Linked DNA regions of Struthio camelus. The protein of the gene in region 1 purifies or fractionates together with the protein of each later gene. This does not show direct contact. Links are inferred from orthologs where the notes say so. Each region holds a gene or a part of one and is shown on either strand. Other genes may lie near its edges.

Region 1 (7,346 bases):
TTATACTTACCCTCAAAGATAAGTTAGTCCAAATCATGCTGTACCACAATAATAGTAACATTTATAATCTGCTTCAAAAAACAGTTTGTATGTAGTTCTCAATTTCTATGCCCTTTGGACCAGTTCTCTCTGCCATGCCATTTGCATATACCATCTACCCCCCCCAACCTCGCAGACTGCATGAATGCAGCATTTTCCAGGAGCTTTCTGCTGATTTCTTCTCAAGTTTATTAGAAATCAAAAAATATACTGCATTAGTTTGCATGTAACTAGGGCCTCAGCAAGTTATGCAGGAAACTTACCCCACAGACTGTACTACCTTAGCCCTCTGTTTATTCCTGAAACTTATCGAAGTAAAACATTCACGTGATATAAAATTAGTTTCTCACGACTCAAGCTCCCAAGCTGTTTCTAGCATGATCTACGTTCACTGCACGCTTGCACAGCTTAGTTTATGTACCAGGTTAGTGTTTTGGTTAAGATTTCTTCAGAAAACGATATGATATTACGTTATTTCTTGGGAAAGCCAAGCTTATAATTGCTAATAAAGACCCAGGCATCCTTTTGTTGTTTCGTTATACTGAAAAGTAAAGGGCTAATCTTGCTGTTTCTTAGTAATAACGATCAATGGATCTGCCCTACATTTCAGAAAGCATAGTTTTAAGTTTAAAAGCATACCACTACACCTTCTAGAGCGCAGGAAAGCATGTTTACTCACAAGTATCAAGACAAACCACTGTGTCATCAAAATGCTCATCTTCTTCTTCAACAGGTGGTTGAGGGGACTTAGCCCTGGCGAGGGAGGAGGAAAAAGAAGAGAATAAAAAATTAAAGTTGGAAGCATTTTAGTAGGGGTATAGGAAATACTTCCTACAGCTTCTCATTCGCAAAATCTTGTCCAGCATCAAAAGTTTCTTTACCTGCTGTACTTATTTTCTTCAATGTATTCAAAATACCCACGGCCATGATCTTCACGTGGTCTCTTCACACCCCTCTTTTTCTCACCAGGTTTTTGTTCTGTTTTAGCATCTCCTGTAACAGAGTTAACAATTTATTTTAGCAACGCAATGTAACTCTGCTGGGAATAAAACCATCCATAACGTTTCCAACTTTGGAAACTGAACGAAAACCCTCAGGAACTGAAAAGCAACAGCATCTTGGCAGACTTTTTTGTGTTGCTCCAAGACAAAAAGCTTGCATCTCCGCATCTGGCACGGTCCTCGATGTTAAGAGAAGACGCCCAGAGAAAAGCCATCCCGCTCTCACGCGGTGAAAAAGAACGGCCAAGAAGGCGCCCGCGCTCTCACCCGCGCCGAGCAGGACACTCCCGGGCGCTCACAAGGACGCCGAGCGCTCCGCACGAGTGCGCCGCCTCCCGGCAGGCCGAGCGCGGCGGGCGGGAGCCCCCGCGCGGGGCCGCCCGGCCGCCTGCAGGGAAGGGATTCCGCCTCCTCCCGCCTCCATTGTACCAGGCCTTCCAAACGCGATCCCGTGGAGCACCCAGACCGGAAGTGACGTCACGCCGCCGAGCGCTCCTTTGCACAATACAGCGCGCCCCAGCGGCCCCTCCGGAGGGGCCGCCCCTCCCCCCGCGCGGCCGGCGCAGCGGCCCCTTCCCCTCACCCCCCGCGCGCCTCCACTCCACCCCCCTCGCGCAACGGCCCCTCCTCCTCCTCCAGCCGCCCCGCGCAACGGCCCCCTCTCGAGAACCCCTCTCCCCCGCCCGCGGCCCAGCGCAGCCGCCTGGCGAGGAGCACGCGGTGCGGGGGGGGGGGGGGGGCGGCGCCGCCGCCGGTGTGTGTGTGTGTGGGGGGGGGAAGACTGGAAACCCCCTCGGGGACACCGCCCCCCCTCCCCCCCCCCGGCGCGGGAGGCGCCGCCGTCGCGCCGGCCGCGAACGCCCTCCCGCGCGCACCCCGGAAACCGCCCTCTTGGCCGTTGCCCGCCCGCCCGCCCCCCCCGCCGCGGGGGGGGGGGATTAACGGCCTTTCTTTCCCCCTCCGCCCCCCCCCCCCTTTCCGCCGAAGGCGTCGCGCAAACTCACCCCCGGCGGCCTGAGCCCCGGGGCGGCCGCCACCACCGCCACCTTCCGCTTTCTTCTGCTGCTGCTGCTGCTTAGCGGGGCCCGCCGAGCCGGCGGGGGCCGCCGCCGCCGCCGGGGGCCCCGAGGCGCCGCCGGTGCTTTTGCCGGGCGCTTCCTTGGCGGCCCCGCGCGGCTGGAGGAGCGGCGGGGGCTGTTGCTGCTGCTGCTGTTGCTGCTGGGGCTGCGGCTGCTGCTCGCCATGCCCGTTGGCGTCTCCGGCCGCGGCCTCTTCCTCGTCGGCGAGCTCGTCCTCCCCCTCTTGGAAACCCTGGTCGTCTCCGTTCTCATCCTCCTCCTCCTCCTCTTCCTCCTCCTCGCCGCCCGCCTCCTCTTCCATGGGGCCGCCCCCGGCCCCCGCCCGCTCGCCGTTCTCCTCGCCCAGCTCCATGGCGTCGCCATCGGCGGCCTCCAGCCCTTCCTCGTCGTCGTCCTCCGCGGTGGAGGCCGCGGCCTGGTCGGGGCCTCCTCCTTGGTGGAGCTGCGAGGCGCCCCCGCCGCTCTCGGCTGCCTCCCCCTCCATGCTGCCGTTGCCAGGCTCAACTGCGCTGCTGGCGGGGCCTCCCCCGCCGGCCTCCTCCTGGTCTAGCGCGGCCTGGAGCCGCTCCATGAGCTCGGCCTTGAGGCCCTTGTCGGAGAGGCGCCGCTTTTTCAGCTCCTCCTTCAGCTCCGACACCTTCAGCTTCTTCACGTTCACGGGCGAGCAGCTCATGGCGGCGGCGGCTCGGTCCCTGGGCGGCGCGCAGGCGACTCTGGGCTCGGGCGGACGGCGGCGGCGGCTCTGGGTCGAGGCCCCGGTGGGAGGCGGTGGGTGGGTGGCGCGGCTGGTTCGTGCGGCTGCGGCAGCTGCAGAGCGGACCCGCCTGGCGCCAAATCCTTTCACCGAGCTCGCGAGGGAGACGCGCCTCGCGGGGCCGAGCACGCAGCACTGCCCGCCCCGCCCCCGCGCACGTAGGCCCTCCTCCCCCCGCTACCGTAACGGCCGCCGCACGCACCGCCGCTACCGTAAATACCGGCCCGAGCGCAGCACCTCTGCGCGCCCCCCGGCGCCTCTCCCGCGCGGGGCGCCGTGCGCTGGGGCCGCCCCCGCCGGCACCCGGAGCCGGACCCGAGCTCGGGGCGGCAGGAGGGGCCCTGGCAGCCCGGGCTGGTCGCGTCTACGCGGCGGAGTTACGGGAAAGGAAAAGTTGCCTCTGCCGGCATAAGCCCCTCCGCGCCGACAGCTGTACCTGCGCCATGTTGGGCCAGGCGGCGGCAGGAAGCCCGGCGAGACGCCCCGCTGCCGCCCGCTCGCTTTCGGCAAAATACGCCATTCCGGACGGGAAACCGGCCCCAGCGGGACCCCGCCAGGCCTCCGCTCTTCCCTCGGTGCAAGATGAGGCCTGAGCAAGGCCCCAGATAGACCCCCCCCCCCGGCGGCCCCTTCCCCCCCGCTGCGGGCACCCTCCGCAGGCCCGGCCGGCGCGCTGCGCCGCGCGGAAAAGGGGTTGAAAATTCAGTTTCAACTGAAAGTGGAAACAGTCCTTCTCAAAATAGTCGCACTGGTACAACCCTGTTAGCACAGTTACATAAGGACAAAAGTAGAGCTATAACAGCAATTTCTTCACAGGCTACGGCATGCGCCAGCCTGACCGGTAACTAGACCGAGTGGCTCCACAAGCCACAGGGCTAACTTAAGGTTTTCAAGTGCGTTAACTCTCCGTCAGACAAGCAACGCTCGTCTGCAGCTTAGTGCAGAGCTAGCTGACCAGGTAACCAACTGCAAGCAAACTGCTGTTGCTCCCAGCTTTGCTGCTCCAGAGCATTCATGTAGGTCTCCTCTCTGTTCTGCCACCAAGCTGTGCACCCACTGAATTTTTCCAATATGGTCCAAAGCTACTGGAGCAGAAACAGCAGAGAGCAGCGCAGATGAACAGGAGGTTAGCATTAGTAGACAAGTCTGGTTCCTTAGGAAGCCCTAGTAAAAAGTTAATTTTCACTTGCTTTTAGAAATTTTAAAAAGAGGCAAGTTGAACAACTAAAGATTGTTAAAAAGCCCTATTGTAGGGAAGGTGTACTGACATGAAGTTGCCTTGTACTGGAGCAGGTCACATGGCCTTCTAAACCAGAAGAAATTATTTAAGTTCACCTGCCTTCAGGAAAAGGGAGGAGAGACAAGGAAGTCGCACTGTTTTTAACTATACAAGGAAAGTTAAACAGTCCCTTAAGCACATGCATGCACTCTGTCCTCTCCAGCCAAGCTGAATCCACTCAGAGGAAACACGACTCAATCTGCAAGGTTAGCTCAACCCTTCACTGCACTAAGTCTTGTTGGAACAGAGACAGCAAGAATTCCCTCATGCAATATGTACAGCTTAGAAAAAGGTTATCACAACCTTTTCCTTATATAAATGCAAGTTAGTAGATTTTCCTCAGTTGAGGAGGTCACAGTCATCTAAATAGGGGGAAAAAAGGAGATTTAAAAAAAGTGCATCAGTACTAAGGAGAGGTCAATGCATGATCAAGCTGCACTGGTATAAATTACCTTTGTGCATTTCTTCATGTAAGAGCTATCTAAACTAGTCTGCTGAGGTAACAGTGATATATATTCCCATGGAGGGGAACAAAGTGTAAACAGGGCTTACCTAGTTAATATTACAAGATTACTTACTGGAGTTTACAGACAACTCTACAATAAGGTAGATGTCTTTTGCTTCTCCCACCTCTATGCTCTTTTGTGAACTTTAAATTTAAAATTTTTAAACAAAACACACACTGAGTCTTTTCGATTTGTAGTGCGTCTGAACCTGAGGCAGAGCCCTACATTTAAACCTTGATCTGGTACAGTCTTCATCACATGAGGAGCCATGTTTGCAGAACTTCATCAGCCTAGTCCAATAATCCTACCAGCGCAAACTTTATGGCTTAGATCCTTTCAGCCTTTTTTGATCCTTGAATGTTGCCTTGAATTAGCACATCTGCACACATTTACAGCACTTGTGTTAAAAACTGCCCTTGTTCAGAATCATCTTAGAGCTGCAGTCCTCACATGTAATCCCCTTCCTAAACAATGTCATGTCTGCCTACTTCAGTAACATGCTCATACAGCTTTATACTGCTGTTACCATGGAGAAACAAAACAGCTAACGACTTTGAGGCACATCAAGAGATTACTTACTTACCCCAAAGCACTCAAGCCTGTATATAAAGGCTCGAGTACATAAAATAAGAATTGTAATTTGTTTTGAGCATTAAAATAGAGGCTCACTATTTTTTTGCCCCAGAAATTTTTTAACACCAACCTGAAAAGGCTCCTCTCCCCTTTAAACTATTTAGAAGGCTGAACTTTTGTTTTAGGGGATTAATGCATACCATAGCAGTAAGTACATGGTTGTATAGTACCATTAGTTACACTATCAAACAGATAGTCACAAATGTAGTAAGGCCATGCCTTCGGTCTACAGAGTGCTGCTACCCGTTATTATAAAATGGGGAGATCCCAGCTGATTTTTAAATATCAAGTGATTTAATTGTGGTGAGAATGGCTTTTCTCTGAAAACTAAGCACATACAATACGCACATAACTGAAACAGGCATGCAACCTTATGACTGATTTCCATGGTAAAAGCAATTTAAGTTTTCTGCTGTGTATGTTAAATACATGTTGTTTACACAAATGCCCCAGTTTGGGGAAAACAAAGAGTTCACTTGTCCTCCCTGAGTCCTGAGTTCAGCGGTGTGACTCTTCCCCATTCCTACTTTAAGGGGGCAGGGGAAGAAGTTAAGGGAATATGCTTTCTCCATTGCTGTGCCTTTCCTTAATTCAGATAACAGTTCCTTCAACTCAGCTTTTCATAGATCACGCAGATACCAGCCACATCATAAAAATAAACATTTAGTCATATGAACTCCTGAAACATGAAAGTTCAAATTAAGCACTTCAGCTTTAATTTGCAAAGCTACCACTTGTGCAATAGTGACAGCCATAATAAATACCTAGCATCATTGCTGATAACCACAAATTGTCTTGCCTTAAATTACCCTTTCTTTGGTCTCAAAATATCCCCAAAATCTTAAATAAAACAAAAAACCCTCCATTTAATTGGAAAGTGGCATCTACCCATAAACAACACGTAGTCCCGTCTGCTTTCTTTGTACTTATTTATCCATCATACAGTATTTTCCTCATACCTCTGTTACATCTTCAGAAAGTTAAAATATCTTTCACTCCAAACCAGTCTCCCCTAAAAAAAGTAATTTGGGATCCTCTCAATCCGCAGCTCTCCCCTTCTAATCAGTTACTGTAGTCCCTCTAATTTTTATTTATACTTTTTCAGATTTTAGCTAGCCAACCTTCGCCTCTCACCCCTAATGTTCTTCCCATTAGTCACTGCTGGTCTTTCCAAGCCCCTCTCCTGCGTGCCAAGAATGGTCAGCCCTTCCCCAACCGCTGCCTCCTTTCCTGCAACGGTTCTTTTCTCTCCTGGATAGGAGATGTGGATGTCTTTCCAAGGGGTGACAAGAAGGGCAGGCTTTCACAGAGGGACCAGATGGTCCCAGGGGCCCATCCTGCCTGGGCTTTTGTCTGATTCTGCAGGTGCACAACACAGAGCCCATTCCTTCCTGGGAGGAGCTCAGAGGGATGTCGAGATCAGTTGTGCCAACTGCTGCAAGGACTGGCCTGGCATCTTCAGACTACCTCTAAGTTGCAGGGAATTGTCTCTTACCGCAAGCACAAAGACAAATCTATGTTTATATCACACTACTCAAATAGCAGTGATTCCCTGAAGATGAGATAGCTATTTAAACCTTTTCTTACACCTTCAACGTTGCAGAAGGACACAAACATTTATCTTTTCCTAGGTTTGCTCTCTTTCAGCCTTGTCTATCCTTTTCTGGCTGTTCTTCTCGTGCTTTACTTTCCTTCTGACCATCGCAATAGACTCCTTGGTCTCTTCTGTATATCCTCAGTCTCTCCACCCTCAATTAACACTGCCTTCAGAGTTTGACATCCAACATACCATTACTTTAAAAAGAGAGTATTATTCTTGAAATACTCGGCTGCCTTTTATGATAGCAGGGAGCACGTGAAGTAAGTCTTTTTCTCTAAGTCTCCTCATGAAATCCTCATTAATCATTATTAGGGCTGGTCAAAAAAATCCAGACATTTTTAAATGCTAATTTATCACAAATGTTTGATGGTGAAGGATCAATTTTGATGATTGTTCATTTCCCCCCCCCCCACTATACACACACATATATGTACACACAAATAAATACAAAGATA
Region 2 (7,763 bases), on another chromosome or scaffold:
GGGTGCAAAAGGTGGAGCTGTTGCCCATGAAACTTAAGATCCTTATAAAATGAATTTTTAGTGTGCAGGTTGCCTAAGAACTTTTTAATATGTAGGACAATATTATGCATTTACTCATATATAGTTAAAAATAGTTCAAAAAAATTGTAGGAAAACTGCTGTAGATGTTGGAATATTGTCTGTTTTAGCAGACTTGTCACATCTTACATGCAGTGACATGAGAGTGAGAGAGTCATGACAGTGAGAGAGTCATTCTTTGGTTCTCGGCTCTGACTGCTCTACGGAGGTACCTGCGTATCTCACGTTTGCCTCGGCTCACCACAGCTAGAAAAAAAAAAAAAAAAACTTTCAGACTCCTGGCTCATAGGAATGCTTATAGCATGCAACTTGGCACGCTTATCACGCGATGGGATGCCTCACCTAATATATGAGTCCTACAGGAACAGAGAGGTCTCTGGCTGGAGTCTCCATTCTGGTTCAGATGACCTGGGAGGTATGAAGATCATCCACACCGTGCGTGACATGCAGGAGCAACTGATGTTTAGCTGTCTAGGAATCCCCTTGCATCACAGGAGCCTTGTGGTATGTATTAGGGTGCTGTACATTTACAGTGCCTGTAAATGCAGGGATTGAATTCTTAGAACATGATTTAGAGCAAACACATGAACTATATGAAATCCCTTACAAGGCAGTTGGGAAGGGACAGCAGACAGGAGAACACCAGATCAAGCGAAGGTGTGTCTTTCTGTAACGTCAGAGATGTTTCCATCTGCAAGAGATGTGTGTGTATATATATATTTTAAAGATATTTTCCTTTTTCGTTTTCTGATCATCATTAACCAGTCAAGAGAAGTGGAACGTGCAAATGAAGAGGAATCATTTGCGCTATATTTGCACTGTGTCAGCCACTACTTTTGCCTAACGATTTGCTCACCTCTTCTTAAAGACCCTTACCTTTTCCCCGTTAGTAGTGACTTCTTTCTTTGATCTCCTCCTTGGCCTACTTGTCTGTTTTGTTTATGGCTGTCTCTCTGTAAAAACAAGCATTCTGTTTTCTTTGTGATCCATTGAGGCCATAATTAGCTCCTCTTAATTTTTCTTCCTCTTTTGCTGTAAATTGTTGAAGGGCTATTAAAACTCCCATAGGGTGTTTTCTATGTCAAACAGAATTAATGTATTGGGAAGAGCTATGTGGTTTTTATATTGAGTGGCAGGCAAAATATGTTTTTGTATTTCTTGTAATTGTGTGGAACTTTCACATAGCTCCTGGGGAGAAAAAGAAAGCTTTTCATTTTTTTTGATAGAGTAGCATGATTTGTTTATTTTTAAACAACAAACAATTTAGGGACATTATGAGCACGTTCTCTTTTCTAAAAGCTAGATAAAATGACTGTGTCTGATATAAACAAATGTCATCTTCCCCTGTCAATAGTTCTCGAGCATAAACAATATTTCTGTCATAAGTTACTCTTCATAGACTTGGCTATAACAGGAAACAACTCCTTTGAGTTTAAAGGATGAAAACTTGGCCCACTGACAGAAACGAGGACAGAATTTTAGTAACGCGTTGTAGTATTAATTTCTGGAGTTGACACCATCTGAAGAGGAAAAGGAAGAACCACAGTTTACTCTGTGCTGAGATTGTGAGCCTTTTTGGACTTTGCCTGGGGCTGTAGTTACCTCACTTCCTACTGAGGTCAATGTTATGCTTACATCTGTGAGTCTCCAAGAGTGCATTTTTACAGCATCTTAAGATGATCTAAGTCAGGGATTCTGCAGTTCTGCTTCCTCGCTTGTGCCAACGCTGGCAGTCAAGGGATCGTGCAGTGAACTGTTTCAGAAAGCTGAGGCAGCTACAAACTAAGTACTTTTTCACTGTAAGATTATTTTTGGCTGTCTCAGTTCTCTCTTAAGTGTATCACTCTATGTTTGCACAAGCATCAGTGCTGGTCCAAGGGAAGAAGCAGGATCACATGGCTGGAGGGCAGGACAGCTTTAACCCCAACATGGATCAGTTTAGACTACTGGGGAACTACATCCTGATATGATACCTTATACAAAACTGTAACCACCAAGTCAGGAGGACTGCAATATTCGGTGTTTTTCTTGCTGCACCTTTATAAAGGCTCCCCGGATCAAAATTGGAGGGGAGACTTATACTAGTCTCTCTGACCAAGGGACCAGGCCCAGCACTGCTGTTTGTCTCTCCTCTTGCCCTGGTTGGGAAACTTGTGATCAAGCTGGAGAAGAGAAGCTGGTAACAGTGATGTGATTGTGAGGTTTGGTGCCAACGTTCTGGGAAGCGTGGAGACTGGAATAGCACAGACAGGCCTTTGAAAGGTAAGAATCGGGATATAAAATGGGTATTATTGGTAGAGGTAACACAATCACTTCAGAGGGAACAGTGTCCTAAAAAAAAATCTTGAAAAAGTCTATGCAATTATCATCAGAGATGAGATATGATAGGCCTGCAATTCAGGATCCAGTGCCTGAAAAAGCAAAGAAACAGAAAGCAAGGAACAGAGCAAACAGGGAGGGATTCCCAAACTGAAGAGGAAGTAATGGGATCTGAGCCGGCCCCATGGTATATACGTATATATTTAAGAGGAGAAGGGTGAAGTGAGTGCTGTTAAGTATGGATGCTTTAACACCTCATGAGGTTTTGAGGGTTGCACGCACTTCAGTGTGTTAGATTATACGTGGTCTGTTTTATCAGAAGTAGATTGTCTTAATGTCTATGCTCAGATTTGTTCATTGCAGGGATAACGAGCAAAGGAAGAAGCTACCTGAGGAGGCTGTGACATTGCCTTCGCTGAAGGCTTTCGAAACAGACCAGGCAGGTATGTGTGAAGGCTGCTGAGGGAAGGCAGAAGGGGACGCACCAGGAGAGGGAGCATGGATGGGGTGAGGCTTACGTTCAAGGGGAAGCATCAGTGGCCAGACACACAGTGCACCAAATCGTATCGGTACCGCTCCTGGACCTGCGCTGGGCAGAAATGGAACAGGGGAACGATGCGGAAAGAAGAGCAGTTAGAAGGGGACGCTTGCGATTTATAAAGGAATACCACACGTGAAGGCTATGTAACTGAATTAGTTACTACAGAGTACTGTGAAGGATTAGATAAGAGGACTAGGTTAACATCTGTTTCAGAAACCTCGTGGTGCAGGCACTAACGTGCCTGGTAAAACATGAGCTAACCTTTTCACCTTCAAGGAAAGAAAATATGACCACAAAAATGATTCTTGGCTCCCAGATCGTTTGTAGCATAAACTCCAGTGGGCGTAAAAATCTTCTTTCCAATGAAAAATTCAGTACGTTGAAAATCAGGCTACAAATTTGAGGCCAGCAACGTTTAATGTACTATTAAAGTAAAGCATCAAAAGTAAACGTATGTATTAGCAGTCTCATAGGTTTTACACACCCTTGAGGTGTAACTATTTATCTTAGAAAATACCTCCCAGTGGAGCTAAGGAGAGATTTAGGGGTGAGAAGATGATGCAGTGATAGGGTTGGAAAGAAGACTGGAAAACGTGCGAGGAAACACTAGCAGGAAAAGTAAGAGAGAAAGAAGCTGCAGGAGGCAACAAGGACCGGGAGCACGTTGGAAAGGGAAGCGAGAGTGAACACGAAAGAGAGAAGAGCCAGATAGCTGCGGAGAGGGAGTAGGTGGGAAGAGATTACAACGGAAGGGGGGGGGGGACTTGAAGAGGGGAGTCACCCCCGTCCATAAAAATATGCTTTCCACGTTGCCTGAAAGCTGGGAGAAGCGTGCCAGCCAAGAGAAATGAAAGTGAAAGGCTTGGGCTGGCAGAGTGAGGAAAATACACCCCCCAAGGTAAGAAAAGTCCCGTCCGTGCTGGTTTCCACTCAGGCGGTTCCCGGCCTCAGCGCGGCGGCCGCGCCGCCCCCTCCTGCCGCCCGGCCCCAGCGGCCCCGAGCGGCCGGGCCCGGTTCGCAGCGGCCGGCAAAAGGGGCAGGGAGGCCGCGGGGAGCGTGAGGAGTTGGTCGGCGCCTTACATCCTCCTTCCCGCCGGGCGGCAGAGACAGGGGACGCGCGCGGAGCCGCCGCTGCCTCCGCTTGTCCGAGTCTGCGCGAGCCTCCTCGGGCTCTCGGCGGCCCTGCACGGAAGGGAGGTCGGGGAACGGGCGGCCGTGTGGGGAAATCCCCCTCCGCGGTGGGGCGGGGCGGGGCCTCGGTGCGCGGCGGGAGCCTCTCGGCCTGCTGCCCGGCGGGGGCGGGGCCGGAGGCGAGGGGCGAGCGGCACGGCCGCCTAACGGTCAGCGTTTCAAATGCTCCCGCGCGAGCTGCCAGCAGACCCCCCCCCCCGGCTCGCTCCCCCTTCTCCTCCCCGCTTCGGCTGCGGGGGCGGGGCCGCCAGGGAGAAAGCGCGCGGCTGGGAAGGAGGCGGCCCATTGGCTCGCGTCCGCTGGCTTGACGCATTGGCGCAGCCGGGCTCGATCCCTCCCCCCCTCCTCACCGTCTCCTCCTCCTTTTCTCGGCGCGAGCCGGGGGCGGCCCGCATCACCGGCCGTTGCGGGGGAATTCTATTGGCTAGCCAAGGCGTCAGTTACTGGCGAACCCCCTTCCTCTTTCGCTGCTTTTGCCGACGCGCGGCGGAGGTCGCGCCCTCCGATTAGGGGCCGCGCTCGTCAATCACGCCCGGGGCCCCGCCCCTATAGGTGAGTCGCGGACGGCAACGGCGGCCCGCTCTGATTGGCTGCGCCGGCGTTGGGGGCGTGCGCTGCGGCGGCCCGGCGGGCGGGGCTCCCAGCGTCCCCTTTGTGTGGGCACCAGTCGCCGGCCGAGCGCTTGAAGAGTAGCAGCCGCCATTTTGTGCGTGTCTGTGTTTTCCCCCCATCCCCCCACCCCCCTTTTCTGTGGGAGCAGCGGCAGCCGGGACGCCCCATCTCTTCCGCTGGTAAGGGGAGGCGAAGCGAAGGCTGTGGGCCAGGCCGAGGGAGAAATCGCTGGCGGCTGCTGGCTGCCGTGAAGTCGCGCTGCTCGCAGCGAGAGAGGGGGAAAGAAGAAGCCAACGGAGCGGGGGGGGGGGAAAAAAAAACCTTAGAGCTGCCCCCCAACAGGAGGAGGAGTCTCGGCGCCAGGCCTAGGCGCAGCCCCGGCACCGGCGGCAGCATGGAGAACTCGCAGCTATGCAAGCTGTTCATCGGCGGCCTGAACGTGCAGACCACGGAGGCCGGGCTGCGGGAGCACTTCGCGGCCTACGGTACCCTCACCGACTGCGTGGTCGTGCTCAACCCGCAGACGAAGCGCTCCCGCTGCTTCGGCTTCGTCACCTACTCGGCGGTGGAGGAGGCCGACGCCGCCATGGCCGCCTCCCCCCACGCTGTGGACGGCAACGCGGTGGAGCTGAAGCGGGCCGTGTCCCGCGAGGACTCGGCCAAACCCGGGGCCCACGCTAAGGTGAAGAAGCTCTTTGTGGGCGGCCTCAAAGGGGACGTGGGCGAAGGGGACCTGGTGCAGCATTTCAGCCAGTTCGGCCCCGTGGAGAAGGCCGAGATCATCGCCGACAAACAGAGCGGGAAGAAGCGCGGCTTCGGCTTCGTCTATTTCCAGAACCACGACGCCGCCGACAAGGCTGCCGTGGTCAAGTTCCACCCGATCCAGGGCCATCGCGTGGAGGTCAAGAAGGCCGTGCCCAAGGAGGACATCCAGTCGGGCGGGGGAGGCGGCGGCGGCGGCGGCTCTTCGAGGCCTTCCCGGGGAGGCAGAGGCGGAGGACGGGGACGGGGCGGCGGCGGCGGTTCCGGCAACCGGGATCACAACGGCCTTTCCAAAGGAGGCGGCGGTTACAATAGCTACGGCGGCTACGGCGGAGGAGGCGGCGGCGGCGGCGGTTACGGCTCCTACGGCAGCGGCTCCTACGGAGGAGGTGGCGGAGGTGGAGGCGGCGACTACGGCAACGGGTACGGCGGGTTCGGCAGCTACAGCCAGCACCAGTCCTCCTACGGCCCCATGAAGAGCGGCGGAGGAGGTGGAGGCGGGGGCGGCAACTGGGGGGGCCGCAGTAACAGTGGACCGTACAGAGGAGGCTACGGTGGGGGAGGGTATGGAGGCGGCTCTTTCTAAAGTTGGAGCGCCCATACCCATTGGGGGTGGCATGGAGAGCCCTCCCTTTGATACGGGGCAGCTTCTAAATGGTTTCTCCCCTCATTCGCCGAAGGGCAGCTCCTTTTAAATGCCTCCCTGCTGTGGGAGCAGCTCCTAAATGCCCCCTGGGGGTCGCCTCTGCTGCCTGTGCCACTTCTTTCTCTCTGAAGATGGACTGGGCCCCACATACACATACTTTGTGTTACAGTCATTGATGGACTCTATTTTTTTATTATTACTTGGACCTTGGTCGTTTTTATACTAGCAACGAAAAAATGTCTTGTTTTAATTTGTTTTTTGGGGGTATGGGGCGGGGGGGGAAGTGTCTTGCTGATCTGGAGTAAAAACTGGGGAGGGTTATGGGGGAATTTTCTTTGTTGTAAGGACTCGATACCTGGCTACTACATTTTTTTCTACAAAATCTACTCGGATCCCATGACTGAAATTAACATTTCTGTAAAGGAGGAAAAAATCGTTTTTACGTTTTTTATTTTTTAAATAAATCATTGTGTTCATTGACCTTTACATGTCTAATTTTTTTTCCTAGGATTCATTCCGTACGGTTTAAGGCTTTTCTGGGTTTGAAACAAGTGTTCCTCTACTTTAAAATCTCTGTGTGTTTAGAGTAAATATTTTATTGCCAGTAAAGGTCCTAATTGACTTTTTTGCTACCCCCCTAGTGGATTTATTGGTTTTCAAACACTTGACAGAAATTTTTGAAGTACTAATCCGTGGATGTGGTCTGTTTTTTAAATATTTGTTCTCACTTATGCAGTTTGTGTGCATCCACCATCTTGTACTAGGCAGTTTGACGTGCTGACATGGTTGGTCAATTTTTTCTATAGGACTTTTCCATCAACGTATGTACTGTGTAGTTTTGAAGAAATAGTTTGTGTTAAGCATGTGCTTCATTCATATAAAATGTTCAGAATTTCCGATTGCTTAGTTTCAAGTCCTCTTATTGGTTTGTCTGTATATGATTCCTTACAGGAAAGGGTCAACATTTATCCCTTCTTTAAATGCATACTTGTTTTCATAGTACCGGGTTAACAGACTTCACTCTGAACTATTGTCCTTCATTAAAGTTCCCCGAGAATATTTTGCAGCACCACCTACTGGCAGGATGGCAGAACCATTGCTGTAGGCTTTATTACAGCAAAGTAAAATTGGTTTGCTAACAATTGTACTAGACTTTTGAAGGCTTTTTTTATGCCATTAGATGACTGGTGTGGAATGAAATGAAATCTGCATGTGAATAAAGATGGGCTCCATGAGTATTGACTGAAAAAAGAAATGGATTTGCAATACCTGCCTCAGCACGTTTTTTGGGTCTTTTGCTTTTTGTTTTTTTCTTTTTAATAATTGCAATTGCCCATATTTCAAAAAATGATAATCTAAACTGTTTGGGCAAAGTGCTATGATAAATGAGCCAGCTAAGTGTACCAGTAACATAGGTGCCAGTTGTAAAGCAAAAATATCTGTGTAGTCTGCTTGATTAACAAATGTATATTTGTAGCCCTTTCACGCAATAGAATTAAAGTTTGTTGTTTATTAAAAAGCATAATGTTTTAGGGGAAAACTGCCTTCCTGCATAGAAATATAGAATAGCAACGTTTATGGGTTTATGGATATCAAATAAAGAATTGAATTCCT
Region 3 (7,372 bases), on another chromosome or scaffold:
TCCGGGGTGGGGGGGGGCACTGCCTTTCCCACCCCCTGCGGTGCTGGGGGGGGGGCCGGACACCTGGGCCCCATCCTGCTTCCTCGGCGGGGGGGGGGAGCAGGACTCCTGGGTCCCTTCCCTGCAGCCTGGGGTGGGGGGGGACACCACCGTTTGGGGGGGGCCGAGCTGGGGACACTGGGGACACTGGCGGGGGGGGGCCGGTTTCCGCTGCCGAGCACCGAGCGGCGGCTCCTGAAAAGTGACCGTTTATTGGAAGCAAATACCGGGGGGGGGGGGGAGAAGGGGACAACCCAGGGCGGGGGGGGGACAATGAAGTGGCCCAGGGTGGTGGGGGGGGCCCCCGGGGGCTGGGGATGGGGGGGGGGCCCAGTTAAAAACATCAACGGTAGAAAAACAGCAGAGATGGGGGCTGAACCCCCCCCCAACCCCCCTGCCCAGCCCCAGAGCTGGGGTTTGGCCGTGGGGGGGGGGACGGGGGGAACCGTCCTGTCCCCGGGACGGACCCCAAGGCTTTGTCACTGGTCGGGGGGGGCGGGGGGGGCGACGCAGGCACCCACGGGCCCCGCTGGGGGCAAACGGGGGCCGATGGGGTTGGGGGGGGGCATAAGGGGAGACCCCCCCCCCACCACCACCTTCCCCAGGCAGGACCGGCTGCGGGCGCTGCGCCGGGGCGCCCGAGGCCACCGCCGCGGGGACCGGCGGGCGGCAGGGGGATGCGGTTATTTTGGGGGGGGGGGAACGGACGACAACGGGGTTGGGGGGGGGGACGGGCGGCGGGCGGACGGGCTATGTACAGCGGGGGCGCCGCCGGGGGCCGCCTTAGCTCTTGGCCGCCTCGCGCTCTTTGCTCTCGGCGTCCTCGGGGTATGCGTGCCAGGTCAGTCTCTCCTCGTAAAAGGCGATGACGATCTGCGGGCACTTCAGGTTCGCCTCCTTGGCCAGCACCAGGTCGGCCTCGTCCGTGTCCTTCCTGCGGGAGTTGGGGCGGGGGGGGGGGACACAAACACATAACGGGGCGTCATGAGCCGCGTCCCCCCCTGCCCGGTTCGCGTCCCCAACGGCGGGGGGCAGCCGCGCTCACCACTTCATCAGGAACATGAGGTCGCCGCACGAATCCGTGGCGCCGATGATCTTCTCGGGCTCCAGGCCTCGCTCGAAGCCCCGCGCGATGTCGTTGCTCTGCGGACGGACGGGAGGGCGCGAAGGAGGAACGGGGCGCTGGCGGCGCCGCGTTACCCCCAACCCCTCCCGCCCGCCGTCGCCCGGCCTCCGCTCACCTCCCGTTTCTTTTTGGCCTTGATGTCCTCGGCGGCGTGGGGCAGGCCGGATTTCCGCTTGGCGCTCTCCGGTTTCTCGCGCGTTTTGTTGGCGTCGCCTTCCTTCATTTTTTTGTATTTTTTCATAAACTCCGAGATGAGCTCCGGGCAGTCCAAGTTCTTCTCCGGCTCCCAGGTGTTATGTTCCCTGCCAGCGGGAAATTTCAAATAAATGAATGAATGAATGAATGAATGAATAAGTGAATGAATAAGTAAATGAATGAATAAATAAATGAATGAATGAATAAATAAATGAATGAATGAATAAATAAATGAATGAATGAATAAATAGATAAGCAAGCAGTGCTGCTAAACGGCTTTCCGGGCGCCGCGGCTGGGCCTCTCCCCAAGGCTGGGAGAGGCTCTCCCCTGCGCCCAGGGGTGCCCCCCGCCTCCCTCCTCTTCCTCCTCGGCTTGAGCGGAGCCGCGAAGGCAGGGGGCACTTACTCGGAGAAGCCTTTCCACTTGAGCAGGTACTCCACTTGCCCCTTGACGACGCGCCTGTCTAGCACCTTCTCCACCACATACTCCTCCTCGTCTTCCGAGGACGAACTGTCTGCTGTCCGCTTGCTCTTCTTGCCCATAGCGCAGGAGCTCCCGCCGAACGCGCCGACGCCACCCAATTCCTGCCGGCCGGAAGCGAAACGCCGTTCGCCGGACGATCCCCAAAGGCCGGCTCGGGCCGCGCGGGGATTCGCCGGGCGGAGCGAGGCCGACCGGCGCCGCGGTTTGAATCTGGTTTCTCGGCGCGGGCGCCGCAAGGTCTCGAAGCCGCCGCGTACGCGTGATCCCCCCCCTCCCCGCCCACCGCCTCCATCCCGCCCCGGGTGAGCCGAACCGGGGCGTCGGCGTCCCCCGCCGGCAATGCTTCCAAGCTCCCGGGCAAAGAGCTGGGTTTTTAAATCCTCTATTTTTTGTTTTAATGACACAGGAAAAAAAAAAACGGAGCGAGAAGAACCGGAGACGGGAATCAGGAAATTCCTCGTCTCCCCGTCCCCGCTCGGCATTTCCTGCCGCGTGCCGGCGTAGGTCGAGCGGCGACGGAGCCGGCCGGGGGCCGCCGGTTCCCGCGCCAGCCGCCTGTCGGAGCTCGGCCTCCTCCTGCAGGGGCAAAAGGAAAGAGCCGGGTTCATCGGCGCTCGCTCCCCGCCGGGGCGGTTTGATTAAAGGTTTGGCGGCGCGGGGCGGCGGGCGAAGGAGCTCGGCGCCACCCGCTTTCGGTGCGTTTTAGGCTGCTTTTTAAACCAAAAACGGCGGCACCGAAAGCTAGCGGGAAGGGAATCGCCCTCTTCCCCCCGCTCCGCCCCGGCCCTCGAAGCCGCCTTCCAGCCACGCGGTGTTTGGGCCCCGGGATGCGTGTTATCCCCGGGCGATTCAACGCGATGATGTAGATGGGGCAGGGGGAGACCCCGGCAGCCCTGACGCCACGGTGACAGGCCCCTCCGAAATCTCCCAGCGTGGGTCATTCGTGCCATCGATGCCGCGGCGTTCGGAGGCGCTTTCCAGCTCCAAGCCGCGGCCTCGACCCGCGGCAAAGGCGTGCCCAAAGCCGGCCTCAGCCCTAAAACCGCTGATTTTTGGCTCGAAGCAGCTCGGGAGCAAAGGGCGCGGAGCGGGATCCCCGCGAAACCTCCGCGTTGGCGGGCGACGGGGCTCCGCCGCTGCCGCCAAACCCCACGGAGAAAAGCCCCGAGGCCGGGCCGAGGCGGCCGCCCCCTCGCTCCGGCTTGTCCAAACCGGAGAGAAATAACACCAAAGCAGTCGGGCGCTTCCTCCCACCCGATGCGAGACGGGTCTCCTCCGCCGCCCGGAGCCGCCTCTCTCCGGAGCGATTTAAGAGCTGTAAGAAACATAACGGGCGACGGCAGGAGAAGACCCACGGCGCCAGGAGCGGAGCCGAACCTCGGCCCGGCCGCCCCGCACGAGCGCGCTGGGGCCGCCGGTTGTTGCCAAGGCCCCTGGGCTCCGGGCTGAGGCCCGACGCCGCTCAGCGCACGCCAGCCTCGCCGGCCGCCCGGAGCCGCTGCTCGGCGCTGCACATCCACCCGGCGGGGCGGGCCGCGCGCTCCCATTGGCCGCCGCCGCCGCCGCTCACGCCGCGGCCCCGCCCCTCTCGGCCCCGCCCCGCCCGCCTCATTGGCCGCGCCGCCCGTCGCTCGCGGCGCGACCCCGCCCCCTCCGGCCCCGCCCCCCGCGGCGGCGCGGCCCCGCCCCCCGCGCGGCACCATTGGCCCGCGCGGCTGCCAATCAGGCCGGCGGGGCACGCCCCCCCTCCTCGCTCCCTGCCCCCCATTCATTCGGCGCAAGGCGCCGCCGCCACCGGCCCGCCGCCGCCGCCCGCTACCTGGGCACGGAGCAGCTCCGCCGCGGCCCCGTCTCCCCCGCGCCGCCGCCGCCGCGCCGAGCCGCCGCCGCTCCTGCGCACTGCCCGCCGCCCGCCAAAACAGCGCCCTCAGCGCGCAGGCGCCGGCCGCCCCGCGCCGCGCATGCGCCCGCCCCGCCCGGCCCCGCGCCGCGCCGGGCTGCGCATGCGCCGAGCGGAGTCCACCTTGGGCGCCGGCGGGCGGGCGGGCGAGCGTCCTCGCTGCTGCCGCGCGCGCCGGGGGGCTGCGCTGGGGGCGCCGCGCGCCGCCCGGCCCCGCCGCTGCCGCTCCGCCGCGGCCCCGCTCCTGCTGCGCTCGCTGACCTCCGCCGGGCCCGCCGCAGGGGAGCGCTGAGCGACAACCGGCCCCGCCAATGAACACCGCCGGGCTGCTGCGCTAGCCAATGAGAGGGAGGCGCGAGGCGGGACCGCGACCGACGGAGCCAATCCGGGAAGAGCTGGCGAGTCTCCGGGACGAAGCGGGAAAAATCGACGCGCGTCACGGGCGGGGCTTCGGAGGCCTCGTCCAATGCGATAGGCCCTGAGGCGGGACCTCCTCTGCGCTAACCAATCGGCGGCGACAGCGCGGGCGGAGCGGCGCGCCACCACCAATGAGGCCCAACCGCTTTGCCCCGCCGCCCAATGGGAGGCGACGCGGGGGCGCGGCGCGGGCGGCACCGCCCAATGGGAGCGGCCGGGGGGCGGGCGGTCGGCGGGGGCGGCGGAGTGAGGCGGCGGCGCTCTCGTCACTCGGCCCCTTTTTGTGTCGGCGCCTCGCAGAGGGAGCATCGCGCGCGGAGCAGCCCGGCTCGGAGGCCGCCTCTCCCCCCACCGCCGCCATGTCCAAGAACGAGGTAAGCGCCGCGCCGCCCCCGCCCTCCCCCGGGCCGCCGCCGCCGCCCGCCGCCGCCCGCCGCGGCCTCCCCCTCCTGGGCCGCCGCGCTCGGCGGCTGGCGGGCCGCGCGCACTGCGCCTGCGCACCCCGCCTCCCCGCCGCCCTCTGCGCACGCGCGGGCGCCCCCCCCGCCCCTCGCGGCGCGCCGGGGGCCCCCAGCGGCGCATGCGCAGCCGCGCGCGCGCTCCCGCTCTCTCTCTCTCCCCCCCCCCCCAACCCCCCGCCGACCCGCGGCTCCCCGCTCGCGGAGCCACGTGCGCGCCTTTGTGCTCGGGTGGGCTATGGCGGCCGCGCGGCCAGCGCGCATGCGCGGCGCTCAGGTCGGCTCCGGGTTGGGGGGGGGGGGCTCCGCCGGGCCGGGGCTGGGCTGAGCCCGGCCGCCTGCACGGGAGGGGTCGGGGGGGGGCACAGGGGTGACAGGGCCTCGCTTGGGGGCTGGGGAAGCCCCATAGATGGGGCTTGGGGGGTGACAGGGCCTAGTTGCGGCCGGCGCGGCCTTGCAGGCTGGACCTGGGGGGTGACGGGGCTGCCCTGGGGTTGGGACAGGCCGGGGGGGGGGCAGGGAGGGCCCTCGGGATGGGCAGGGTCTTGGTGGGGCCTGGGCAGGCCCACAGGTTCGGTGTGGGGGGGACACGACCTGCCTGGGGCTGGGGACAGGGCTGGGGGGGCCCTGTGCAGGGGGGTGGCGGGGGCAGGACCTGACTGGGGCCTGGGGGGCCCCTTTGTAGGGGAATTAGCAGTGATGGGACCTGTTTGGGCCTAGGGGGGCCTGTGGAGGGGAGTTGGCAGTGATGGGACCTCTGTGGCCCTGGGGGGGGTAGGGGTGTCCCACAGGACAGGTAGGGAGGGCAGCCTGCTGGCAGCAGCACCCCCTGCTCACCCCCCTCCCCGTACCGCTCTTTTCTCCCACCAGTCTCCTAAGGAGCCCGAGCAGCTGCGCAAGCTCTTCATTGGCGGCCTCAGCTTCGAAACAACAGACGAAAGCCTCCGCAGCCACTTCGAGCAATGGGGCGCCCTGACCGACTGCGTGGTAAGGCCTGACCCGCGCCTGCCTGCCTCCTCGCGGGGCTCTGCGCTGCGAGGAGACGTGGTTTGCGTTGGGCTTCTCCGCCAGGCTGAGCGGAGTCAAAGCGGTGCAGGAAGCAGCTGAGCCTCTGTGCAGAGACAAGGGTGGGCAATTGAGTTTCGGCCCTCAGGGGCTCTTGTTGTGACACCTCTGGGGAGACCTGGCTCTCTGGGGCTCTCAGACCGCTGTTAGCCCTGGTGGTGTAATACTGAGGGGCTCGAAGCGTATTTATTTGGGTTAAATGGAAAGTGGTTGCTCTGGGTGGAAGACCTGTCTGCTTGGGCCAGGACCTGCCCGCAGAAGGGAGAGGTGAAGGTGCTGAGGGACAGCGTCAGGATGGAGCAAGCCCCGGCCCCAAAATATCCCCCAGTTTCCCTGAGCTGTGTCATAGGGACACCCTGAGGCAGCGCCAACGTCTCTGCATGCGGCAGCTGGTCCCTGATGGTGTCTTTGAGAAGAGCAGGGTTGGTGCTAACTGGTAACCAGCAGGCTAGGACCCCCGTTTGCTGACGGCTCGTTTAGTACCTGTCGCTGTTCCTTGTCTGACGTGGGTTTGTCCTCCCAGGTGATGCGGGACCCAAACACCAAGCGCTCGCGAGGCTTTGGGTTCGTCACGTATTCCTCAGTCGAAGAGGTCGATGCTGCCATGAACGCCAGGCCACACAAAGTCGACGGCAGAGTTGTTGAACCAAAGAGGGCCGTTTCCAGAGAGGTAGGAACCCGCGTGAGGTGCGGACGCTCTGCGGGGCTGCCAGGAGGCGCTGGGCACCTGACGCAGCCAAACCGTGCCCGTGCGCGCGGTGACCGCCGCGATGTGCCACGTCCTGGTGGTGCCAGGAGCTTTTCTGAGGCTCAGGTGATGCCTCGGGCCGTGGCTCTCCCAGCTAGTCCTGCAGCGGTCAAGAAACGCTTTTGGACCTCACTGTTAAGGGCTGAAGGGACCTGGCTGAGGGTAGAGATGGGGCGTAGAAGGCTCAAGGCTGGCCTTGGGGTGGGTCTGCACGGCCTGGATAAGCGGTAACCAAAGCGGGGCAGAACTGCCAGCTCTTCTAGGCTTAAACACCTCGCTCCGGGCCTGGCTGAGAGGGTAACCGCTTCCGAGTGCTGCTGGATGGCTGGTGACTGAGCGCGAGGGTGAAGGTGCTGAGGACGGAGGCTCCGAAGCCTGTTTTTTTTTCTGCCCGGGAGACCTGGGCGTGCGGTGCTGCCCCGTTTCCGCCCCGTTTCCACCTCACGCGTTGTTCCCGCAGGACTCCCAGCGGCCCGGGGCCCACCTCACAGTCAAGAAGATCTTTGTGGGCGGCATTAAGGAAGACACAGAAGAGCATCACTTGAGAGACTATTTTGGCCAGTATGGCAAAATCGAAGTCATTGAGATCATGACAGACCGCGGCAGCGGCAAAAAGAGGGGCTTCGCTTTCGTCACCTTCGATGACCACGACTCCGTCGACAAGATAGTCAGTAAGTCTGGCTGCGGGGAGGGTGCTGGGGGCGCGGGATGGGCGTCCGGCTTGACGGCAGCGTCCTAAACGCCGTTTCCTTCCCTGCAGTTCAGAAATACCACACTGTGAACGGGCACAACTGCGAGGTGAGGAAAGCCCTCTCGAAGCAGGAAATGGCCAGCGCTTCAGCCAGCCAGAGAGGTGAGCGCTCAAATCTCGCCCCAGCTCCCCGCCGCCCCGAGCTGACGCTAGACGTTACTGTCTGTGCTGTTCCTAAAGGCTGTCCCC
Region 4 (7,398 bases), on another chromosome or scaffold:
CTAACTATAGATTAAATCAGAGTTATTGCTCTGTTTAGAAGCAACCCGAATTTGGCACTAGAAACTAGCAGCACTTTAGAAACTAGAGTACTTCTAAACAAAATTGGCTTTTGGTGTTAATGTATAACTTTGATTTGCCAAAGTTGCATCCATTTATATTCAAAAGGCAACATGAAAAAGAACTACATAGGTATATGTTTTCTAGATTTTTCCTTCAACTGAAGGAAAAATCTCCCTTTTAGGCTAAACCTAGAATTTTTCAGAAGATGAAGCTGTGCACTCTTAACAGACAAGGCTCTAACCGAAGTCTGCGTGCCTTTTTTTTTTTTCTTTTTTAGAACCCTTACAATAGAGCCTTACAGAAAAGATTTTACAAAATGTTTACTAAGGCTTTCAACAATGGGTGAAAGCAAGGTAACTTGATGGCTTCGTTCTCATCAGAACAGCTTACTGATCAAGCAGGAATTTTGCAGGATTGCTATGATCTGTACAGACTGACAGCAGCTATGCATAACATACCCCAGCATCATTGAATGCAATTACAGAATGCTCAAAAGAAATTCAATGGTGGTAGCATGATTTTGGGGGGGGGGGGTGCCTGCAAGTTGTTTCTGCACTAGGGATGGTGCTACTGTACACATGTAGATATGCCACATGCTAATTTCACCTCTTACAACAGCAGTAGATATACTTTAACTTACAATCCTTTGTTTTGTAACCCTTGTGATCAATACCTGGATATACGTACTTAAATAACACATGGTAGAGCCTTCAAAATTAAGGCTAAGATAGTCTTAGAAGTTATTTGGCTTCCCCTTCAGAGGGCCACACAGACTGGAAAATTGCAAGCTTAACATATACTTAACAGATACTTAACATATCTCTCCTCAGTGTATTAGTACTCATAAATCAAGGTACGGTTTAGCTATTAACAATACTTAAATGCTGGTGCCTCAGACTGCTCTTACTTTAAGTGTTAAAGTTTTCACATAGCTGAACGCCTGTAACTAATTTTCCTAGAAAATTAGAACCTTCCACAGATTTTGGGTCAAAAATTGTCACCTCCTATGTGAGAAAGGGGAAAACAACTCACTTTTCAGAGCAGAATACTTTAAAAAAGCAAAAAAAAAAAATCAAAGAAGAAACAAGAAACTCGCACAGAGCTCACAGGCCTAGATCTCAGTCCTCATGGGGTCTGCAGAAGGCATCCTGCCTGAGCTCTCAGGAAGAGTACAAGTCTTGCTTCCTCCCTTAAAGCCAAAGTCTATCATTCTACTGTGGCTAGAGCTTTCCATTTAACCTGAAGCAGACAACTCCTTCGGTTTAGAGCCCAGTGGTAACAGTTTGAATTAAATACATGGAGTCACTTGAATCACAAAGACCCTCTGAGAAGCAGGAAGGTATTTTTGAGTCAAGAATATATATTCATAAAAAGATAAACAGATCAGCTATGACAAGAAATAATTTGTACATAAGGATGCAGCTACTGAAGCAGAGACTGCCCCAAGTCCTCTACATAACACTTTTAAGAAATAAAACCTTTTTCTGACAATGCCGCAAATAGTACACCAAAAATCACACTTACTGTTTTAGACACATTGCACACCATCTCAATCATACTGTTTTTTCCTTCACTCTCCCCAAAAACACCGAGTCTCCCAGTGGCTTCCAAGCCCAGGACGGCTCTTTTATATGTATTAAACAAAACAGGTTCGCGTTGACACCAACGCCGGTGCTCATCGGGCGTGCAATCGCCAGAAAGTTTGAGCCAGCCCCCCACCCCCGACAGAAAGCAACTTCTTCCCCTCCCTCGCTCCCTTCGTTAAAAAGGGAAAACAAAAGAGGGAAACGCGGGGACGGCAAAGCGCGCGGAGGTAAATCCCCTTCCATTTTACAGCGTGAGAAGGCAACAAACCCGCTCCCCCGCCCCTCCCCCAGCCACCACATGGCGCCAACAAAAGGCAGCTCCAGAACAAAGGAAGCGCTGGTGCTGCAGGCCGCCGGCTCACCGCCCGCCCGATCCCTCCGCAGCGCGGCCGCCCGCCGCCCTCCCCCGCCGGCCGCAGCGCAGCGCAGCCCAGGGCGGCGCGGCGCGCCCGCCTCGCTTCCGCTCCCGCCGAAGGGCCGGGCCGGGCCTAGCGGCCGCGCTCCGCCGCCGCCGCACATGGCGCCCGGGGGCGGGGGGGGGGGGGGGGGGGGGCCGCGGCCTGCTCCCGCCTCAGACGCGGCCCGCCGAGCGCGGCGCGGCGCTCACCCCGCGTCCTCCTCGTTCTTGCTGGCGTTGATCTGGTCGCCTTCGGCCCCGTTCTGGCTGGCGGCCGCCGCCGCTGTTCCCGCCGCCGCCGGTCCGGCTCCCGCCGCCGCCGCCGCCGTTCCCGCCGTCGCCGCCGCCGTTCCCGCCGTCGCTGCTGCCGCTGCGCCCGCCGCCGCCGCCGGGGCCCCGCCGGTTTCGGCCTGCTGCTCTCCGGCGCCCTCGGCCGCTTCGTGCCCGTTTTGGGTGGCGCCGGCGGCGGCCGCCAACTGCTGCTCCGCTTCGGACATGCTGCCCCGTCCGCAGAGGCGAGACACGACAGGCGCCTGCAACACACGAGCGCGACGCTCACGGGTCAGCAAGGCGGCTCCCCCCTCCTCCTCCTCCTCCTCCTCCTCCCCGCCTGGGCCGGTCTAATCCGGTCCGGTCCCGCCCCTCCCCCCCTTTTCCGCCGTCGCCATCCGGCCGCGGCTCATACTCACTTTAAAACCCGCTCCCAATAAAATCCGGGCCGGCCGGAATCGGATTAAAATCCCCCACGCGCGCTGGTGCTGACACCCCTCCCCGCGGCGCTCGGCTGCTCCCGCACCGGCCCCGCCGCCACCTTCTCCTCCCCCCGAGACACGTACTCTCCGGCCCGGAGCCTTAACGCGTGGCCGCTTTTATACTGCCGGAGCCTCGGTCACACAGCAACAAAGCGCCTCCTCGTTGGCTGCCAGCCACTGTCACTCACGCGGTTCGGCCGCTCCTGTTGGCTCTCCCCGCGGGGAGGGCGGGGCGCGCGGGGTGAGGCGAATGGCGGCCCGCGGGACTAGGCTGGGAGGGAAGGGGAGGCCTCGCGCCTCTCGCCTCAGCGCTGAGGGCAGGTTCCCTGCCCGGCCCGGCCCGGCCCGGCCCCGTTGCCGTGTGCGGCAGGGGAAAGAAGGCGGGCGGGCGTCGTGCTGTTACCGCCGCGGCAGCCTAGGGCTGCCCGGGAGCACCGCCTCCCCCGGGGCCTGCGGGGCCGCGGCCGTTGTCCCCGGGCGGGGAAGGGCCGCTCCGCCCCTCCCCTCCCCGCCCCGCCCCGTCCCGTCCGACGTTACCGGCCCCTCGACGCGATCTATAAAATCGCCAGCGGCGGCTGGGACGAAACCCACCCCGGCGGGGGCAGCGCCCGGGCCGGGGGGAGCGCGGCAGCTGCTCGCGGCTCGAAGACCGGCGCGGTTGTGCGGCTGGTGCCGGGCGCGGCGCTGCCGGGAGCCGCCGCCGCCGAGGCGGGCTGGCGTGGCCCAGCCGCCCTGGGGTTGCGCAGGCCCTCGGGTCTTGCCCGGTCAACGACGGGAAACGCTGCTGCGACTTGAACGTAGTATTTATTGACAAAGAGTTGCAGTGGTTTCACTTAAGGTGTGGTATGAACACTGACTCAGTTGCTCCAGTACCAGAGGTTTGGTTAATGTTTCCAGCTCTGCTGGTTTGGCAACTGAGAGCGCCGGAGTTTATTGTTTTTAATGGAAACTTAGATTTGGTTGTTACATAACGCCGGGAGCTGGAGCCCTGAGCGTGTGCCTAGGCCTTAATTCCATTTGCCCGAGGATATATCAACCTTGTTGATGAAGCTGTGCATGAAGAGCGCGGCAGACACCCACCCGCTCACCCATACACGCACGGTGTAATCGTACTTTGAATTCTTGTACAGTTTACTATTCCAAATACCTCATTTAGCCATGGACACAGTCAAAGTGTATCACCACATCTTTAAAAAAAAAATGTTGCGTTCTTTGCTTCTAGGTAAAAAGTGACAATTGTTACCTAATTTTTGTAGTAATGAATGCATGCACTATTATTTGCTTGCTCCACCCTCTGGCAAATAGCTCCTCTGGCTCGACTTGCATATTTGCTCCTGTTATTACAATTCAGGAAGAACGCACATGGCTACTTCTGAATAAAAATATATAGTGGTGATAGATGTTGCTGTTTAGTAATCTAGTCTAGGATCCAGGTTGTCCTTGGGCAAACTGCCTTTACAGTGCTTTTTATCCTCTACTGGATTCATTTTCTTAAGTAGCAACTTAGAGAAACTGGAATAGAGGACGTTATATTTGGTTTTGTAAACTTCCTAGCAGTATAGCAGGCAGCATATTAAAGATGAGCACAAAATAACATGATTTGTTCAGATTACGAGTCCAACCCCCGCCCCCACTTTTTTTTTTTTTTTAAGTAAAAACATTTTATTGCTTCAGGCTATAAGCCAGACCTTTAAGCAATTAAAAAAAAGGGAAAACTTAGTATTGTGTGAGCATATGGAAAAAATAGCTCCCCTCCCCCGCTACAGCCAAGAACACCAAGCCACTCTTTTGTTTTGGTGCTTGCGGTACATGTCATGAGCATCATTTCAACTGGTCCAAGCTGAGCTGTCTGCTTTGATTCCCATGCACGTGTGCAGCAAGACTGCATAATATCTGTTACCAGGATTGCAGCTGTTTTAACTCCTTGAGTTTAAATCCTCAGTGATATTGGCTATTTGCTTTTGTAAACATATTTTTTCTCACGTTTTTGCTGCTCACGAATACAGAAGTACTAAAGTAATCTAAGAAGCAGGCAACACAAGTAATTTCAAGGATATAAGAAAGTAGTAAAACATACTAATACGTAGGATGTGTCAGCCAGATGCTCAATTCATGAAGATATTAATTTGTTAGCATTCTACCATGCTTTCAGCTCAGGCTACAGTAGCTCAAATCTTCACCTCAGGTGATTTTCATTTCAACATAGTCCACTGGCAGAGTAGAGTGCACTATGGACAAGCTCTATAATCAACTCTTCAGGCTGAGGTTTATGGAACTGAACATGCTATGGGGCCAAGGCAACAGCAAAGGGTTAATAAAGACAGTATAAATGTTTCAAAGTATGTTCTCTATTCTAGCGTATACCATTTTAAAGGAACACATCCCATATCCAGCAAGAGACCGTCTGTTGATTTTCAGGCAGCTTTGGCTTAGAGTGTAAGCCTATCAGATCTGTACCCAAAAGCAGTGGCTGTAAGGTATGGTTTGTGATTAAAAACAACTAAGCCACTGCCTGTCAGATGACCTCAATTAATTTATACAGTACACAGGCAGCATGCTTCAGTTGGAAAAATAACATGCGTTTGCTTAAGTGGATCAGGAGCACTATGGCCAAACTCACATTTGCAGATAGACTTAGCTAGGATGGCTGAAGTGGTTAATGCTACCCCCCTTCTGTCCCATCCACCTTCTTTTTGGAGGTTTTCATGTATGTAGCAGTTGCAGTTGAGTGTAGAAGCATAGCTGTTCCTAAGTTACAAGTTTATAGACCAGCATATGAAAGTAAACTGAAATTGGCAACAGTTCCTGAGAGTTTGTCATGTAAGTTCAGGCTCAGCTGATGGATATAACCAGACTGGTTTTGATGATACAATTCATTACTTCTTTTCCCTGCAAGAGTCATTGCCCCAATCATCAAGTTTGCTAAGGACTTGCAAGATTATCTATCTTCTCGTTTAGACTTCTCTGTATGTTTTCCTTTCTTTTCTTCTTTCTCTCTTTTTTCAGTTTTTTCTTATTTTGCTGAACTTGTCTTGTCTTTCCTTTCATAGCCTGTGCACTGGTGTTTTGGCATAGGTTATCTTTTCCTGGTTAAGACTGCTTTCTTTAAATTTGCAGACTCTTTTCCAACTGAGCATTTTCCCCACTCAGTTCCATCTCTCTTTTTCTCCCATATTTGCAATTCCAAATGTCTGTTTCCAGCTGCCCAGTCTAGCCATGATTCCCAGCTGCCCTATTTTAGAAGCTAATCTCTTCTTCTTTACTATTTTACATGATGCTTTATATGTCCCATACCCAACAGCAGGATAACAGTGTGGCTGTATACTGGCAAAAGCAGTCTGGTTTGAAAACTGATAGTGACGTGCAGGACTAACAATGTCACTGTTTACACATTGAAGACTGTACATTGAAGACTGAGAAAGTTGAGACTACGTGCCATTATGATTATTAGTATCAGGCCCCATCATGCCTTCAGGTTATTTTAAATACTTCCTCCGGGATGTGACTTAGGTTTGGGTCTTGTGTTTCATCCACATTCAAAGTCTGTGGTTAATCAAAATAAAATAAAAAAAAGACACATACCTTCTTGGGTGCTAATCCTTATATGACATATTTACTGCTGAGAGAAAAAGATCATTGCTATTTGTTTAATCCTGTAACTACGGTGACTATTCGTGACAGTGATTGAAATCCAACTGAATTTTACCTGTGTAAATTGAATTGAATTCTACCTTTACTTCAGGATCTTAGGCCTAATTCTGCCATTCTACCAAACTCGTTTACTCTATGCCATGCCCTCCCTGTCTAGTCCTACCAGCTTTAAGCCATACCTGTTTTTACTGCCTCTTTTCCTTTCTTCTTCATCTTCTTTATACTTCCCTGTCATGCCCATTGAGTTGATTCTTCTAGTCCTCCCCATTCTTTAGGAAGAGAACCAACATACCATTCACTGCCCTGAAATTCTTGGTGTAAGCGATCCCTTTCCTCCACCCTATGTTTGTCTTGTCTAAATTGACTGTAAGCATCTCAGGTCAGAGACTGCCTGCTATATACAAAATACCTTCAAGATAAAGCTTCTGTCTGAGTTAGTCCTTATGCACAGTATATACAAATAGGTTTACTGATAATAACGATGCAAGTAATCCCCTTGATTTTAATGGAATGGGTGAAAGCAAGAGCTCACAATAAGAAAGAATGGCAAGAGGGATGGTTTTACATGGAATTAAGATGAAGAGAATATGCATTTAAGGAAACATTGACAATATAACTTCAAAACCAGCCGGGAAATCTTCCTATGTTACTAAAATTACTCTACTTTGAAAAAAAATGCATTGACAGTATTTAGGGTCAGACTTCTAAAAGCACAATTTGATCCAAACCTAGCTACCAAGGTGACACATAGTTATAGCTACTGCTGACTTCTGAACTTACTCTAAAATTTTTCAGTTAACTGGAATATATACTTTAAGTATTTTTCTACGTACGTTGCCAGATACAGAAAAGACCTATCGTAGTTCTTCTGAAACATCATTTATTTAACTGATTGTCTCTTGTAACTTGCCATATAAAAGATTTGTATGTGTTTATTCATACATTCATTCA

Evidence for each region.
Region 2: the proteins of HNRNPU (region 1) and HNRNPA0 purify together in Homo sapiens (affinity purification with mass spectrometry; 3 studies listed by BioGRID and IntAct, with this or other methods). This does not show direct contact. The link is inferred for Struthio camelus from reciprocal best matches to the Homo sapiens genes HNRNPU and HNRNPA0.
Region 3: the proteins of HNRNPU (region 1) and HNRNPA1 purify together in Homo sapiens (affinity purification with mass spectrometry; 6 studies listed by BioGRID and IntAct, with this or other methods). This does not show direct contact. The link is inferred for Struthio camelus from reciprocal best matches to the Homo sapiens genes HNRNPU and HNRNPA1.
Region 4: the proteins of HNRNPU (region 1) and HNRNPAB purify together in Homo sapiens (affinity purification with mass spectrometry; 4 studies listed by BioGRID and IntAct, with this or other methods). This does not show direct contact. The link is inferred for Struthio camelus from reciprocal best matches to the Homo sapiens genes HNRNPU and HNRNPAB.

The regions. Positions count from the first base shown.
Region 1 is NC_090944.1:99,222,085-99,229,430, forward strand, and holds the start of HNRNPU (heterogeneous nuclear ribonucleoprotein U), read right to left. Parts: upstream 3,009-7,346; 5' UTR 2,793-3,008; coding exon 2,045-2,792; intron 1,033-2,044; coding exon 921-1,032; intron 793-920; coding exon 719-792; intron 1-718. UniProt on the Homo sapiens protein: DNA- and RNA-binding protein involved in several cellular processes such as nuclear chromatin organization, telomere-length regulation, transcription, mRNA alternative splicing and stability, Xist-mediated transcriptional silencing and mitotic cell progression.
Region 2 is NC_090954.1:5,744,349-5,752,111, reverse strand, and holds the start of HNRNPA0 (heterogeneous nuclear ribonucleoprotein A0), read left to right. Parts: upstream 1-4,763; 5' UTR 4,764-5,135; coding exon 5,136-6,089; 3' UTR 6,090-7,763. UniProt on the Homo sapiens protein: mRNA-binding component of ribonucleosomes. Specifically binds AU-rich element (ARE)-containing mRNAs. Involved in post-transcriptional regulation of cytokines mRNAs.
Region 3 is NC_090969.1:2,899,857-2,907,228, reverse strand, and holds the start of HNRNPA1 (heterogeneous nuclear ribonucleoprotein A1), read left to right. Parts: upstream 1-4,470; 5' UTR 4,471-4,520; coding exon 4,521-4,535; intron 4,536-5,489; coding exon 5,490-5,606; intron 5,607-6,207; coding exon 6,208-6,354; intron 6,355-6,892; coding exon 6,893-7,103; intron 7,104-7,192; coding exon 7,193-7,285; intron 7,286-7,363; coding exon 7,364-7,372. Other genes in the region: CBX5 (chromobox protein homolog 5), read right to left, coding at 823-973, 1,085-1,182, 1,281-1,467, 1,767-1,945, 4,006-4,470. UniProt on the Homo sapiens protein: Involved in the packaging of pre-mRNA into hnRNP particles, transport of poly(A) mRNA from the nucleus to the cytoplasm and modulation of splice site selection.
Region 4 is NC_090954.1:5,964,113-5,971,510, reverse strand, and holds the start of HNRNPAB (heterogeneous nuclear ribonucleoprotein A/B), read right to left. Parts: upstream 3,010-7,398; 5' UTR 2,881-3,009; exon of another isoform or gene 2,734-2,880; intron 2,578-2,733; 5' UTR 2,542-2,577; coding exon 2,255-2,541; intron 1-2,254. UniProt on the Homo sapiens protein: Binds single-stranded RNA. Has a high affinity for G-rich and U-rich regions of hnRNA. Also binds to APOB mRNA transcripts around the RNA editing site.